Notamacropus eugenii: one gene and its partner. The protein of the gene in region 1 interacts with the protein of each later gene in a pairwise test. Links are inferred from orthologs where the notes say so. Each region holds a gene or a part of one and is shown on either strand. Other genes may lie near its edges.

Region 1 (7,206 bases):
CTATCACCACTTTAGGGCTTTGGGCATGTCTACTCTGATATACCCCCAATCTATATGTACATATTCTCCAAAGACTACCCCTCTGTGCTTTTCAACATTCCTTTCTTTCCCCTCCCCCTCCACTTTCCTTTCTTTCAAATCAACCTTACTTTCTCTCCCCATGTCTTTCCTTTCTTTGATCCTAGTTTCTTTTCCCCTTTCCTTTCCTGTCTCCTTGATGTTTTCATGATTTGCAACCCCTTCTTCTATTACATCTTTTCTTTTCAAATAACCAATCCCTTTAGGATCCATAAGAATTATAAATTGTCCACTTCTGTCCACCCTACAGACATCTTGCAGCATCTACAATTACAAGGGAAACACAAACACATCCCAGGATTCACCCCCCATAGGTCTCTCAGCCCTCCCCCCACCATCTCCCTTTCCCTGTTTCAGCGCCACCATCCTCTTTTACAAACACCATTTCTCTGTGTGCTTAACATGAGCAATATGGACAAGTGAAAGGGAGCATGAAAGAAGCAATTCTGATCCTCCCCTAAAGACTGGCTGAATTCCTGTCATTCTCTGAAGAATGAACTCTGAAAAGAAACACAGAAGACCAGCTAGAGCCTGAATGTTCTCCCTGATCTTTCCCCCTCCCTCTTCCCCATAACACCAGGTCAACTGCCACCTGAGTCAGTCAAGGACTAAACCATCAAATAAAAAAGGAATCCTTTGCTAAGAATTTTCTTCTTTAGTGATTTCCCAAAGAACACATCTCCTCAACTCCTCTTAGTCTCATTACATCACTATTACAGGAAACAAATGATGGGTTAAAGCTTATGGTAGGCATTTTCTCATGATCCTGAGAATATCTCTGGAAAATTTACAAGTTGAAAGTCCTTCCAGATCTGTTGAGAGGATTAAGACCTACAACTGCAGAAGTCAGAAGTGTCCACAGGTTTCCTGATTCCTAGCCTAGTTTTCTTACTATTAAACAAACACCCCTCAAAGAAGCCTACTTACTTCATTGGAGTAAAATAAAACCTTCCACAGGGTTTGAACTGTAAATAAAGTGTCAAGAGAATACTGTTCTTATAGGGAGAAAAAAGGCAGTGAAGTCTAAGGGAGAGTGCAAAGCTTTGAAAATTCTGAGTTCTTTTCTTCACTCTGTTTTTGACTTTATTCTAGTTCATTTCTCCGGTCTCTGCACCTCAGTGCTATATTCCATAGAATGTTCTGGTTCCTGCTGCCTTGACAAGAATTTTATGAAGATTGATGAGAAAACATGTAGAAAATTCTCTGAAATTTTCAAATATTCTCAGGACAGCAGTATCACCATTCTTATTTGGGCATCATACCAAGAATGAGGCACCTAAAACCTTATTTTAAGTGCTCCAGGGGTAGCCCAAGACATATGTAGGATATGGGTATTCTCAAGTGCTCTGGCTTGGAAATTGTGTCCATAATGTACCTCTTCAATAGCAATGAAAGCTGTTCCTGGAGAGAAAGAAGTTGGCCAGTGATCAAGAGGGAAGCTAAAATGGAAAATACTATAAAGAGCAGAAAAAGTCATTTCAACAGTGGTAGAGGGAACTCAGAGTTTGGGGGATTTAGTCAGTGTTTTCACTAACAACAGTGAGTAGAAATCCAAGTAAACTGCTCAGGGCTGGCACATACCACACATGGGCATTGAGGAGAAGAAATCTCAAAACCTAGAAAGCCCACCTCTACCAGTGGCAGACCTGCCAGACCTTCAGGGTCTGGGACCTCATCCCTGGGGGGCCCTCAGCAGCACCCCACACGCAGAGAAAATAGGGATTCTCTGGGGGGGAGACACTCTTGGTGATCTTATCACCCTTTTCCCACTGCATTGTGATCACAGGTGCCCTTGAACCCCTCTCCAACTTCTTGGGGCCCTCAGAGCTGGGCCTAAAAGGTCAGGTGACCATCAAACATTCTCATCCAAATTAAAAACCTCAAAGAAAAGATTTTTTTTCTTCTTTGCTCTTCTTGTGTTATTATAGAGTTCCCTCCTTCTACTCCCCCTTTCTCTAACTCTTTCTCTCTTTTCCCTCCCCTCCCTCACTCTCTCTCTTTCTCTCTCTCCTTTCCCCTCCTCCTTCCCCTCCCATCTCCACTTCACCACACACAGAAACTCCTTTTCAAAGGGGCTTTTTTCCAACCCAGTGAAGTAGTCTTTGCCCCTTTGTGGTGAGGGCTCATTAACATTCCCACAGCAGCATCTCTTCAAGGATTTTACTTTTGTAACTCTGTGGGGAGGTCAATAGGCCACAGGGAAGAGGTAAAAGGAAAGAAGAGTGAAAGGGGGAGGGCGGAAGAAAGGAGAGTAAGGGAAAGAACCCTTCCTTTCACAATGGGTAAAGAATTGGGGAGGGTGAAGCAGAAAAACAGAGGAAAGGAAGAGGGGAGCCAGGACCCAGGAATAAGGCAAAAATGGACCCCAGAGCTGCTGTTAGAGAAAGTTTCAGAGGCTCCTGGGAGAAAGAGGAGTCCCCTGTCCTCTCTTTTCTTATTTCACAAAGGCAGGTGCTTAATGGACCCTGCCTGATTAAAGAGTGACAAGACTGAGCTAAAAGCTGGCTCCACTGGTGAACAGTAGCCTTGGACTTTGCCTCTCCAGGCCTCAATTTTTCTCTCTCTACAATAGAATCACGATAACTGTCTATTTACAGGGATGTTATGAGGATAAATGAGATAACGTCATAGGCATTTTAATGGGGGTAGAACCAGAAGGGCGTCACCCAGGGTCCTGACCCTGAGGCACTAGGAAAATAATAATGGCTGATGGGGACAGAACTGAGACAGAGAGGTTTCTCAAACTTTTCTACTATAGGTACCTACATCATTCATCAACCTCTCCCTCCCCCCCCCAAGAGTGTCTGTCTGCCATTGCCATCCTTTTAATAGGCCCAACTTAATCTGCATTTGTTAGACTAAAGAAGCAAGGGAGTATACAAGGTATGCAGGCTCAGCTCAGCTTTGTGAGTCATCATGAGTGGCTGAGGGCACACTCAAAGAAAAACAGAGATAAAGTCTCCTTATGAAATACCGGAGAGAAGAACAATTCCTCCTTTCTCCATGGAAGGTGATAAAGCTTCTCCTGTCAGCTAAAGGTTTAGGGGGTTGGGAGTAGAGAAGGGGAAAAGAAGGAGGGTTGATCCAAGCAGAAAAACTGCTAGACAGAAGCCATCTTATACATTCAGAAGCATACTTTGCCTAAGTTTTAGGAGGGAGACCACAATCGAAAGATAGTGAACAAAAATATGAAACACCACTGACTGAGTTTATGGCTAAGTAGGGCTTGGACGATTCAGTTGTTTGCCAGAAGAGAAAACGATAGAATCCTAGAATCAGAATATTAGAGCTGGAAGGGACCTTCAACATCACCTAGTCCAATCCCTCCCATGGTAGAGACAAGAAATCTGAGGCCAAGAAAGATGAATCCGAACATCACTGGGTACTGGAATTATGAGTAACCATCTAGTCAGAGATCTCCCATCCATGCAGGAATCCCCCTCTACAACTTCTCCAACAAGTAGTATTCTTTGAGTGTGTGAATACTTGCAGTGATGGGGAACTCATTACTTCAAAGGGGACCCATTTCATTACTGGACAGTTATGGTAGTAAAGTCCTTTGTATTCAGTCAAAATCTTCTGCCCATTGATCCTGTCTTCTGGAACTACACAGAATAAGTCTATACCATCTTCCATATGATTGCCCTTATAACCGAGGAATACAGGCGGTCTTTGAGGTGGGAAAATATCCACACACCTACATATTTCTAATGATTCTGTATGGCTAGCAATTATTTCCCTCAGTGAAATTACTAACCCTCCTGTGGACCTTGTTGGGATAACTACTGTTGTTTCGAAGTCTCTAAATAGCCTTGATATGCTCTCCTTGCTCTCAAATTAATGCAACTGACTTCTTTCTTACTTCCCCAACTAGAAATTTCACAAAGCTCCCACCCCTAGAAATAGCCATATTATGAGACTAGACTGGGGTGACCCCTGTTCAGCCACAATGCAGCTCTCAATTTAGGGTTCCTCAGAGAACCAAAATGCACAGGGAAGATCTCAAAGAAAGAGATATCGAGGCAAAAAGGCAGGGAGAGTGCTCAGAGTGGACATCATGGGGAGAGGAGGACACAGGAGCCCTCCTAGAGAGGAATGGGTTAAATCCTTTCCACTGCAGTACAAAAGAAAAGAGTGTGCGGAAAGATTAGGATTTTTGCTTTTACAATGGGAGCTGCTGAAGCCTGGGGAAGAAGCAGAAGAAAAAAAGGGGGCGTCTCCTCTTTAAAGACTTGAGAGGAGTGAGAGCAAGGGAGAGACAGTAAAAGAGAGAGGGAGAGAGAGGAGAGAGAGAGAGAGAGAGAGAGAGAGAGAGAGAGAGAGAGAGAGAGAGAGAGAGAGAGAGAGAGAGAGAGAGAGAAGAGAGAAAACAAGAGAAGAAAGATATTGAGTGAGTGGAGAGAGAGAGAGAGAGAGAGAGAGAGAGAGAGAGAGAGAGAGCGCCAATTTCTCTTTGGAGAGGAAGAACCTCTGTTCTAGAGTGACCTGCCCTGGGAGAGGCATCCACTGGCTCCAGACCAAAGAGGCAGACAGGACCAAGTCACCCTTATTGAAACTAAGTGAACGATCGCCCCTCCCTTCCCCACCTCTCTCTGGCCTGGGTATGTCTCGGCGAAAGCAACGGAAACCCCAACAGTTAATCTCGGACTGCGACGGTTCCACCGCTTCTGAGAACGGTGGGTGTCCCAGGGAGGGATGAGAAGTGGGACCAAGCCCAGGAAAGCAGGGTAGTAGTTGGGGGAGAGCACCTGGGAGGTGGGCAGAGGTTGGCATCCAGAAAGAAGGCAGGAGAAGCCTTATCATTGAAGGAGTCAAGAAACAAGGCTTATGGGCTTCATGGGGTAACTTGGATTGGGGAGTGGGCCCCCTCAGCTCTCCTTGGCGTCCTTTCTCTTTTTGTTTTCCTGTTGTTTGCCTCTCAATGAAAATGGAGTTTCCAAACTGGCTCTGTCTCCCCCACCCAAAGAGTTTTTCTTCATGTCCCCTGTGCTGGCTGGTCTTTGTGCCGTTGCTAAGTAACGACCTCAGACCTGAAGACTGTCTCTTAGGGGTGGGATTTTCCCCCTTTTCTTTCTGGGGAGTTGGGTTGCAGGAGAATGAGTTGGATAAAAACGTGCATGTTCCCCTGAGAGGGAGGAGAAAAAAAGTTTCTCATTGTTGAGTTGAGAGAGAAGAGATCAGAAGAGCTCTCCCAAGGGAGAGTGCCTATCTGTGACAGTGGGAATCAGACCTGGTTTTTGGTGTGAATCTGTGTCATTTGGGGTAGATGTTAGAGGGGGTCAGCCAGTGTAAGTGGTTTAGGCTTGTGCAACAAGGCTTATTTCAGAGGAGACTGGAGAGTAAAAGTGTGGGAGTTTGCAAAAGGGGCTTTTTAGTCGCTGATGTAGCTTATATAAATGTGAATATGGATGTATATATTATCATATTATCCACTATTATAAAAAAAAACCTTGGATTTGTGGAGATTTTTTTCTTTAAAATGACAAAAAGCTTTTTGTTTTACAACTTTTATTTATTCTCCCAGCACTCCTATAGGCAGAGGCAACTTTTAATATTTCCACTTTACAAATAGAGTACTAAATTCAACAAATATTTGTTAAGGGCTTATTATGTGCAAGGGATTATATTGAGTGTCAGAGAGACTATAATGCTCCAAGTCACACAATAGGTCAGAATTATAGCTAGAACAAGGATGCTGCTGTCCTAACTTCCTGTCCCAATGTCACTATGTCAAAATTCACTAAATTATTCAGTGGGAAGGATGGATGTTTAAGTATACAAAGCCTCTATGATGACATACTGAACTCTAGAGAGAATCTGGCTACGTGAGCCCAAAGGTCATGTACTGAGCAGGCGAGGTGGGGCAACCATCATGATATACTAGTACAACTTCCCCCAAGGTAAGAGGGAAATGAATCAGACAGAACTAGGGAACTCTGGTGAGTTTGGCTAGAGGTTACAGAATGGATTCCATGAAAAACAGACTCCTAGGTAACCTATTTAGCAAAGAATGGGGTCACAGGTGAAATTCCCCCTCCCCTCCATGCTAGGAAAAAGACCTAGGGGCCACAGAGATCAGTTCACAGTGGGCTTCTGACTGTGGAACAGCCTTCCTTGGCACACAGATTGTGGTTTGAGTGAACTGCATTTTCTCCGACTCTTATGGAAAGCCCAGTTCAGATGTTCCAAAATTTCCTAGAATCCTGCTGTGTCCGTATTTAGTAGTAGAGTGGTTATGGCTTCCTACCAATCCTACGCCAAATTAGTCCTTCATAGTGCTGCTTCTAGGCAGGTTGTTTTTTCCTCATGCTCTACAGGAGATCTCCCTGAGAGGATAGGAATCATTTCACAGCCCAGCTCCCCTGCTGGTTCCATCGTGGAGCGATGCTGAACCCCTGGAGTCAACCATAGCCCTGCTTCTCTGCTCGTTTCTGCCTGCTAACTCACCCCCAGTACCAAGCAGCTCAAGGAAAAACCACTGTTACCAAAGAGGGTCAGAAAGAAGTCTCCAATGGCCACCCAGTACAGAACTTTTACTCTCCCCAGTTGTTCCATTCCACACACCTTGGATACTGGCGATGTATAGATAATGTCACATAAATCATCACCACTAGAAACAGTCTGAAGTATGAAATAGACAGTAACTCCATTTTTAGTGCTGCCTTTGATTAAGAAAAGACCAGAAATACAAAGTCAGACCAAAGGGCAGGGAAGGGATTGCAGCCTCTTTTAGGATGGCTGTCATCCAATTCCTTGGGTTTACTAAGTGCTCGCTCTTCAGAACCACCTAAACATGAACAACTAACTGATAGCTAGATGACACAGTGGACAGAGGGCTGGCTCTGGAGACTGAAAGAGCTGAGTTCAAATTTGTCCTCAGACACTAGCTTTGTGACCCTGGGCAAGTCACGTAACTTTAGCCTGCCTTAGTTTCTTCAACTGTAAAATGGGGGCACTAATAACGCCTAGCTCACAGGGCTATTGTGAGGATCCAATGAGAAAATCATTGTAAAGCGCTTAGCACAGGCCAGGACACATAGTAAAGGCCACATAAATGTTAGCTGTAAACACTACTTTTATTATCGATATTAGCTATTATCATTCTGACTGTGATTGACCTTGTTGATA
Region 2 (7,975 bases), on another chromosome or scaffold:
CCTTTCTGAAAGCAGTGTGGGATACAGGGAAAATCACTGGATTTGTAGTCAGAGGACCTGCTTTCAGATCTCCACAGGTCACCTGTATAACCTTGACAGCGGGTAAATTAGTTTCTTTCTTTCTGACTCAACTTCATCTGCCAAGTGAGAGAGTTGTACTGCATGATCTCTAAGTTTAGAAGGGAAAGGGAAAAAAGATATGGGAGGATAGCTAGCAGGGATGGATGGATCAAGTGAAGGGTTTTTTGAGGCTAGGAGAAACACGGGCATGTTTATAGTCAGTAGAGAAGCAACCAGTAGATAAGAAAAGATTGAAGATAAGTGAGAGACTAAAGATGATACAAGGGGCAATCCACTGGAGATGGGATGGAATGGGATCACTTGGGCATACAGAGGCATTTGCCTTGGCAAGGAGAAGAATCACCTCTCCAAGTGAGACAAGGGTAAAAGAGATAGTGAAGAAAGGCTCCCCCATAGTGTGGGTTGAAGAGGAGGGGGACAAGAAGGAACTCTCAGAGAATGGCCTCAATTTTTTTTTTTTTAGTGAAATATGATGAGACAAGGTTCTCAGATAAGAGGTTAGGGGGAGGGACAGCCATGGAAGATCTGACAAATGATTTAAAAAAAGGTTTAGAAAAGGCACTATGGTAAATGGGGTAGGGAATCCATTATGGAGGAAAAAATGATTGCTTTGCCAAAGTAGGGGCCAGTTGATATTATAGAACAATAATTTGTAGTGGACCTAAGTCAGCACGTTTCTGTGATTTTTGCCAACTTCATTCAGCAGCTCATGAGTAGGAATAAAGGGAGTGTGTATGATGGAAGAAATCCAAGGTTAAGGTTTAGTATGGCAAGATTTTTGATAGGATAAAGGGACAAAGGACTCAGGAGAACAATGTGGAGTTAAATTCATCAACCAAGGTGTCAAAATGGGGAAGAGAGGTACTGAAGGCTGCAGTGAGAGTGAAGAACAGGGTCTGAAGTTGCAGCGCAGAGGGAGAGGTGGAATAAGATGTTAGGATCAGATAAAGGAATTTCAGAGTTCATGAACATGAAAGGGGGTCACATGTGAGTGACTGTGTGTAGCTGAGCAGAGATAGAGTGGGAAATGAGTAAGTGAGAAATTGAGAGGTTATGTTGTTTCAGGAAATATCAATTTGTATATTGAAGTTTTCTAATATGAGGGCAGGAGTTGGGTAGAAAAGAAAGACTGTGAGCCAGGAAATGAATTCATTAAGGAAGAAGAATGTTCTGTTCTAGAGGTCTACAGACAATGGGCACCAGAATCCTGGTTGGCTAATAAATATGTACTAAATGAACCTCAAAGGAAGAGAGCTTATTGAATGATGGTAGTCCAAAGAAAGTGTGGAAGTGGCAATGGAGAGCCACTTCCAATTCCAGTTCCCCCACAACACTCAGCAAGTTGGGGGTACACACGAACATGCAACCAATACTACAATTCATAGCCCCAGAAGCCATCTTACTCATCAAAATGGAGCCAAGTCTCAGTGAGTGCAAGGTAGAGTGAGCAAGAAAGAAAAAGATTTAAGATGCGAGCTAGTTTGTTACCCATGGAGCAGGCATTCCAGAGAGTACAGTGGAAGGAGCCGGTAGCTTTAGAGTGGAATATGGTGGGGGTGGGGATGGGATAAAAGGGGATGGGAGGATACAAGAGCAGTCAGGGGTTCAGAATCTCTGGGAGGGGCAGGGTAGGATGTGCTAGGATTACATTAATCTTTGAGAAAGAGTTTAGATAGGTTGTTGTAGTTCTTAGGAATTTGGCTGCAGGGGTGGAGTTGTCCCAGACTATATCTAGTAGCTATGTATAGCTGGAAGGGGATGGGGGAGGGGAGGCAACTGTTTTGGAATTGTAGGAAGTCAGAAAAGGTGCCTAGAGCTCTATGGAATGACTGCTTTAGGAGTCTAGGAAGCTCCCTTTCTAGGCTGGCAGGCCTAGGAGAAGCAAGAAATTCCTTAAAGCCTCAAACCCTGTAACTCAACACATTTATATACTTACAGAGGCAGTTAAGTACAATAGATACCAGTATAGTGCTACTCCAGAAGTCTGGGAAACTTGAGTGAGTTGCTAGTAGTGTGACTAAGGGTAGGCAACCACCTCTCTAAGCCTCACGAAACTCTCTAAGACCTACTAAGCTTTAGACTGCTTGGGGATCTACTTTCAAGGCTGCTCTGGCTCTTCTTACATGAAGCAAATTGTTTTGCAAATCAGCTATTGCTTTGCTTTTTTAAAAAAAAAATTAATTTATTTTTAGTTTTCAACATTCACTTCCATAAGGTTTTGAGTTCTAAATTTTCTCCAGCTTCCTCCCCCTTGCCCAAGACTGCACAGTCTGATATAGGCTCTACTTATACATTAGTATTAAACATATTTTCACATTAGTTATGTTGTAAAGAAGGATTAGAACCAATGAGAGAAACCACAAGAATGAAGAAACAAACAAAAGAGAGCAAATAGTGTGCTTTGATCTGTATTCAGACTAAATAGTTCTTTTTCTGGATGTGGATTATTGCTTTGCTTTTCATGGCAGATGTTCTATTCCCTCAAGGAGGGGTTCTTAAACTGGTATCCATGTCCATGAACTCTGTGTGTGTGTGTGTGTGTATGCGCATGCCTATAAAATGTTATATATATATAATACGCTTTTTTTTGGTCATTTTGCCATTTCTGTCACCAGCTCATTTTACAGATGAGGAAGTAAGGCAAACAGGATTAATTGACTTGCCCAGAGTCAGGCCACTAGCAAGTATCTGAGGCTGGATTTGAATTCAGGTGTTCCCGACTCCAGGTTTGGCATTCTGCACATTGTGCCACCTAACTGCCCTGGCTGATAAATATATTTCAGTATCATGAGTTTTCTTTCAAATGCTATGTATTTTATGAAGATAGTGCAGTACTCCACAAAGCTTTTTGGAACACCCTATATAAACATTATTCTGAGAAGGGTTAGTTTTGCTAGACTGCCAAAGAGTCCTACAACAGAAAAAGATTAAGAACCACTGCTTTATGTTGTTTAGTTGTTTTCATCCTGTCTGACTATCCATAACCCTTTTGGGGGTTTTCTTGGCAAAGATACTGGAGTGGTTTGCCATTTTCTTCTACAGCTCATTTTATAGATGTGGAAACTGAGGCAAGCAGGGTTAAGTGACTTGCCCAGCAAGTGTCTAAGGGCAGATGTGAACTCAGGTCTTCCTGACTCCAGGCCTGGCACTGTGCCACCTGGCTGCCCATGTCTTATGCTTTACATTTATCCAACAAACATTAATAAGGTTCACTACGTGTAATCAATCAACTAACATTTATTAAGCACCTTCTATTTGTAGGGTCAGGGGCAGCATGACAGAGTAAAGAATAGGCCTGGAAACCAAGTAGACTTTGGTACAAGTCTAGCCTCTAATTCACTGGCCATGGTCATTATGAGCCTAGAAAAGTCACTTGTCTTCCCAGGTTTCTATATAACTCTCCACTATGTTTCTGTGCCATTGCATTGGCAGAGGGAGTTTCTTCACTCAGGAGTTTCCTCTACAAAAGAAATCACAGGACCAGTCTCTAGCTTTTGTTTTATATGACAGGCACTAAGCAAGTCTCCGGAAATACAAAGATGAAAAGGTAACAAACAGTCCTTGCCCCTTAGTTTAAGATCTGGCCTGGGGATACAGTGTCTATATGCATAAAAAGTCTTTACAAAATCTAGACAGCCACTGGAAGAGATACAAAGTTCAGATAAGCTACTGTCTATCTTCATGGAGTTTATAATCTACTAGGACATAGGCAGATCATTGCAATACAAAGTAATATATTAGAGTTTAGGAGATAAAAAAATCAGGTACTATGGGGAGAGGGGGAGAGAAGAAGGTGCTTTCTGCCCTGGGGGAGTCAGAGAAATTGGTGGAGATAGCTTTTGGAGCTGGACTTTAAAGTCTGGAGAGGAATCCAACCAGCCAAGTGGGGGAGAACATTCCAGGCATGGGGAATATCTGGAGAAAAGAAGTTTACTAGACAGCAAGACCCAAGAGGCCATGAACCTCCGCCCCCACCCTACCCCCACCTCTCTGGACCAGACTTTGGCTTTGCATACAGTAGGCTGCTATAAGAGCTGAGATGAATGGTCACTGGCCACAAGTCTAGCACCGGACTGTTGTTTTCCGTGTTTGTTCTCCTCAATAATTGTGGTCAGACATATTTGTTTTCTGTCATCCACAGCACCTAATCTGCCCAGGAAATACTTGTTGGCTGACTGGTGGTTGTCCATCATCCCAATGAAAACCAAGTTTCTGGAATTTAGAGTTTACCTCTGACTTGCTCCCGAATTCCCACCCATCCCCACCCCCTTCGGTTTCCTGCCAGGACTCTGGGGTGAGAATTGTGGAATGTACAACACAATTGGAGGGCACGCCTGGCTCTGCCATGTGTCGTTCCCAGTTTGGCTACCAGGGTAGCGTGGCCCCAGATATCCAGAACCACCTGGGCTTCCATATCCCTGGTCCAGGGTGGGGGACAGTTCATTACTACACCTCTCAAATGCAAAAACAACCGCCTGGAAGTGGCCGGGATAATCGTAGTAGGAAGGGGGAGGGAGAGGGGTGGTAGTGAGTGGATGGGAGTCCAGAAGGATAACTGGGGCAGGGGGAAGCGTCAGGGGATGTGCACCTCTTCCCAGCTCCCTCCTCGCCCCTCCCCGGGCTTCGGGCAGCAGAGCAAATCCCCCCGCCCAGCTCCCGCCTTCTCCTCCCCGACATATCGATCATTCGAGGATGCGTTGCTCTCGCCTGAGGTGGGGCTGGGGGCGGAGCCAGTCTCCCAAGCTCATGCATATGGATGATGCGGCGGCAGCGGCATCTCCATTGTGCAATCGGAACCGGGAGGTGGCGGTGGCGGCGGCGGCGGCAGCGGCCCCTGGAGCAGGGCGCCTGAGCTGAGCCCCCCGGCCGGCGCGGCGGCCGCGAGGCGGCATGGAGCAGGCGGGCCGCGGAGGCGGCGGCAGCGGCAGGCAGCCGGCGAGGCGCTGAGCTGGGCCCGGAGCCGCAGCCGCAGCCGGGCTCGGGGGCTCCTCGACAGTTCCGGGCGCCCGGCCGGGAGGTGAGCGGGCCAGGGCTGGAGCTGCGGGGAGGGTGGGCGAGTTTGCCGCGCCGGAGGGTCAGGCACTGGGCCCGACGCCAGGGTGGTCCCGGGGTCTGCGAGCCCCCCTTCCTCCCGCCCCCGCCCGGGGCTGGGTTCCCCGGATCCCCTCCCGCCGCGGAACGGAGCTGCCACCCTCACCGGGGAGGCCAGGGTCACCATGGCAACGAGGCCGCCGCGGGGGCACGGGGACACGGGGGCGCGGGGCCGGCCGGAGCGAGGTGCCCGTGCCCGTGCCCAGGGCGCGCGGCCGGGCCAGGATGAGGGGCCCCCGCGGGGAGCCGCGGCAGCGCGCCCGGCGGGCCCCCTTCCCACGCCGGCGGCGGCACCGTGTGGGTGTCCGGAGCCTGCCCGCCCCCCCGGCCCCGGGCTTCCTCGTCGCGTCCCCTTCCCCTGGGCCTAAGCAGTCCTTAGGAATGGGCTAGCCAGGTCCGACGAGGCTGTGACTGTTTGCCCAGTGGAACCCAGGCGAGTGTTGGGGCGCTCCTGAGCCTCCCTCCCCCCGCTACACACCAGGCGGCTGCTGCTTCCTTTGCATGGGAGAAGGGGGGTTTAGCATCGGTGATGAGCAAGACCACCCCATCCCCCTTCTGTTCCCTTCCAATCTCTATGTTGGGACATACCTTGACTGAATTCCTTTCCTTGGGGTGGTCTTACGCAGAAATGACCCTATTGTTAGGCAGAAATAACCCTTTTGTCTCCTGAGATTTTCTCTTTCGCCCAACTTGAGCCATTGTTTGAGGTTTGATTGGGGAAAACCCAGTTGTTCTGAGAAACCAAGGGGGTGGAAGGGGGGCCCTCTGGGAACCGAGATTTTACTCATCATTCAGTACCTTCCTTACCTGTGTGTGGTGAGAGGAGTGGGCCTTCCTGGATAGCTTCTCCCTTTACAGATAGGTATTGCCAGGCCTACTTTAGTTTGTCTTGCCAGGCACACTTTGGTTTTTCTGTCCCATCTTCTTAGAGGCTTCCCCATCCCAAACTCCAATATGTGTCCACCAGTATAGTCTGTGACCCTACATGGGCTGGTCCCAAAAGGTGCTATATATTTTTCCAAGGTAGACTGTTTACCTTTCCAGTCCCCTGCCATGGCCTCCTAGAGAGCACACCCCATTCCAGAATGGGGAAACTGAAGCCTGGAGAGGCTAGAATTAGGACACTCAGGGGTGGAGCATAAAATAGCAGTACTAATAATAATGTCAGTAATAATGTCTTTGACTCAAAGTACTTCGTTTGTATTATTTATTCTCACAGATTTTTACTTAGAGAAGATTTCACAGGGACATCTACAGAATGTCATAAATCATGAAGGGTACAGATAGGGTGAACCTGGACTTAATCACCAAATCCTGGAATACTAGAACTAGGGGGCACTCCTTGAAGCTTGAAAAAGGTAAATTTAGGATAAATAAAAGAAATTCTTATTTTTCATAGTAAACTTAAAAGAACTAATTATTCCAGGAGATACAGACTAAAAATATGAATGTTTTTAAAATTAGCTAAATTAATAGATGATAGATCCGTAATGAGTTGTTAAGGGAAACTAGAATATTGTTTTTTGGGGGGTACATCTCTGATATTTTATGATTCATATCTAAAAGAGCAATTATGCTATTGCATAAAAGATCCCATGGGATCCATGTTAGACCTACAGTCATGGACTGGCAGGCCATGTTTCTGACCCAAGGAGTAGTTCTTTTGTTCTTATTCACTTGACAGTCCTATGAAATAGACAGGAGCAAGAACTGTTTCTCTCCCCCTTCACCTCCATTTTGCTTATTGGAGAGTTCAGGTTTAAAGTGATTAAGTAATCTGGCCAAAATCACTGTGACTGAAGCAGCATCAGAACCCAAGTATCCAGGCTCCTGCTTGATGCTTATTCTAGTAGCTTATGCTACCTACCAGAAATAGAACACAGCCAGTCCAGTCACACAAGGCTGTGATCCTTTCTGGTAGTACAAATTAATCCTCCTTCTCCCTATATTACTTGGGACTGAATCAAGGGAATGTTTCATTTTCTGTTCCCCACCCCTGTCAGGAACTCTTCTGTCCCATCATCGCTGTCCTGTCTGTAGTCTTCTCTCAATTCATCTGGTCTCCTTTGTCCCTTCTACGGTTACCTTTGCCACCTAGAAGCTACAAGGTAGAAGTCTGTAGCTGAAAAAGTCCTATTAGCAGCTTTTTGCAACCTCTGGAGAATGAGTTGCCACAGGGCCATCCTCTTGGGAGTCTGGTTGATTAGGTGGGAAAGCAGAGAGGAATTGATCCTGTTGCTCAGCTTCGAAGAGGAGTGAACTGTTACTCCTGTTCCCATTTGAAAGCCTAGGCTAACTAGAGTGGAGCCTGAAGAGAGTCTAAGTATATGGAGACAGACTTAGAGAGTGCCTCTGGAGCCATACAAAGTTAGTACCTGTAGGGTTAGCCATCAAGACAGACACTCAGTTTAGAATGCCTTTGCTCTTTAGTAGCTTAAAGCTGTCTTGTCTTTTCCAGTTACTTAGGAGATTTTGGGGAATCTCTTCATCAATCAGCCAGGTGCTTTTTGATCTCAGATTGTTCATGGTGAGAAAGAAGGCTAGAAACCATGTTTTCCATGTTCTCCCATTTCAAGATGGTCTGAATTTCTCATGCTATTTGACTGTACAGATTGCCCCTGTACCCCAGTGTAATAGCATTGGGGGTATCAGTCTGTCCCTGTTATCAGTGAAAGTAGGTTGAAATGCTGCCTATTACAGAGAAAGGAACTGTATATGGTGCCAATAGAGCAAAGGGAAGGGAAGCCAAGAGATTGTTGCTTCTGTGTTTTTCTTTAGGGGGTATAAAACTGAGACTCCTTCT

Evidence for each region. The genes of interacting proteins can lie anywhere in the genome.
Region 2: the proteins of SALL2 (region 1) and ZMIZ2 interact in binary tests that used the Homo sapiens proteins (3 or more experiments, as listed by UniProt). The two-hybrid records come from large-scale screens. The link is inferred for Notamacropus eugenii from reciprocal best matches to the Homo sapiens genes SALL2 and ZMIZ2.

The regions. Positions count from the first base shown.
Region 1 is NC_092878.1:12,377,494-12,384,699, forward strand, and holds the start of SALL2 (sal-like protein 2), read left to right. Parts: upstream 1-4,192; 5' UTR 4,193-4,681; coding exon 4,682-4,754; intron 4,755-7,206. UniProt on the Homo sapiens protein: Probable transcription factor that plays a role in eye development before, during, and after optic fissure closure.
Region 2 is NC_092872.1:523,014,288-523,022,262, forward strand, and holds the start of ZMIZ2 (zinc finger MIZ domain-containing protein 2), read left to right. Parts: upstream 1-4,940; 5' UTR 4,941-5,098; intron 5,099-5,570; exon of another isoform or gene 5,571-6,530; intron 6,531-6,576; exon of another isoform or gene 6,577-7,975. UniProt on the Homo sapiens protein: Increases ligand-dependent transcriptional activity of AR and other nuclear hormone receptors.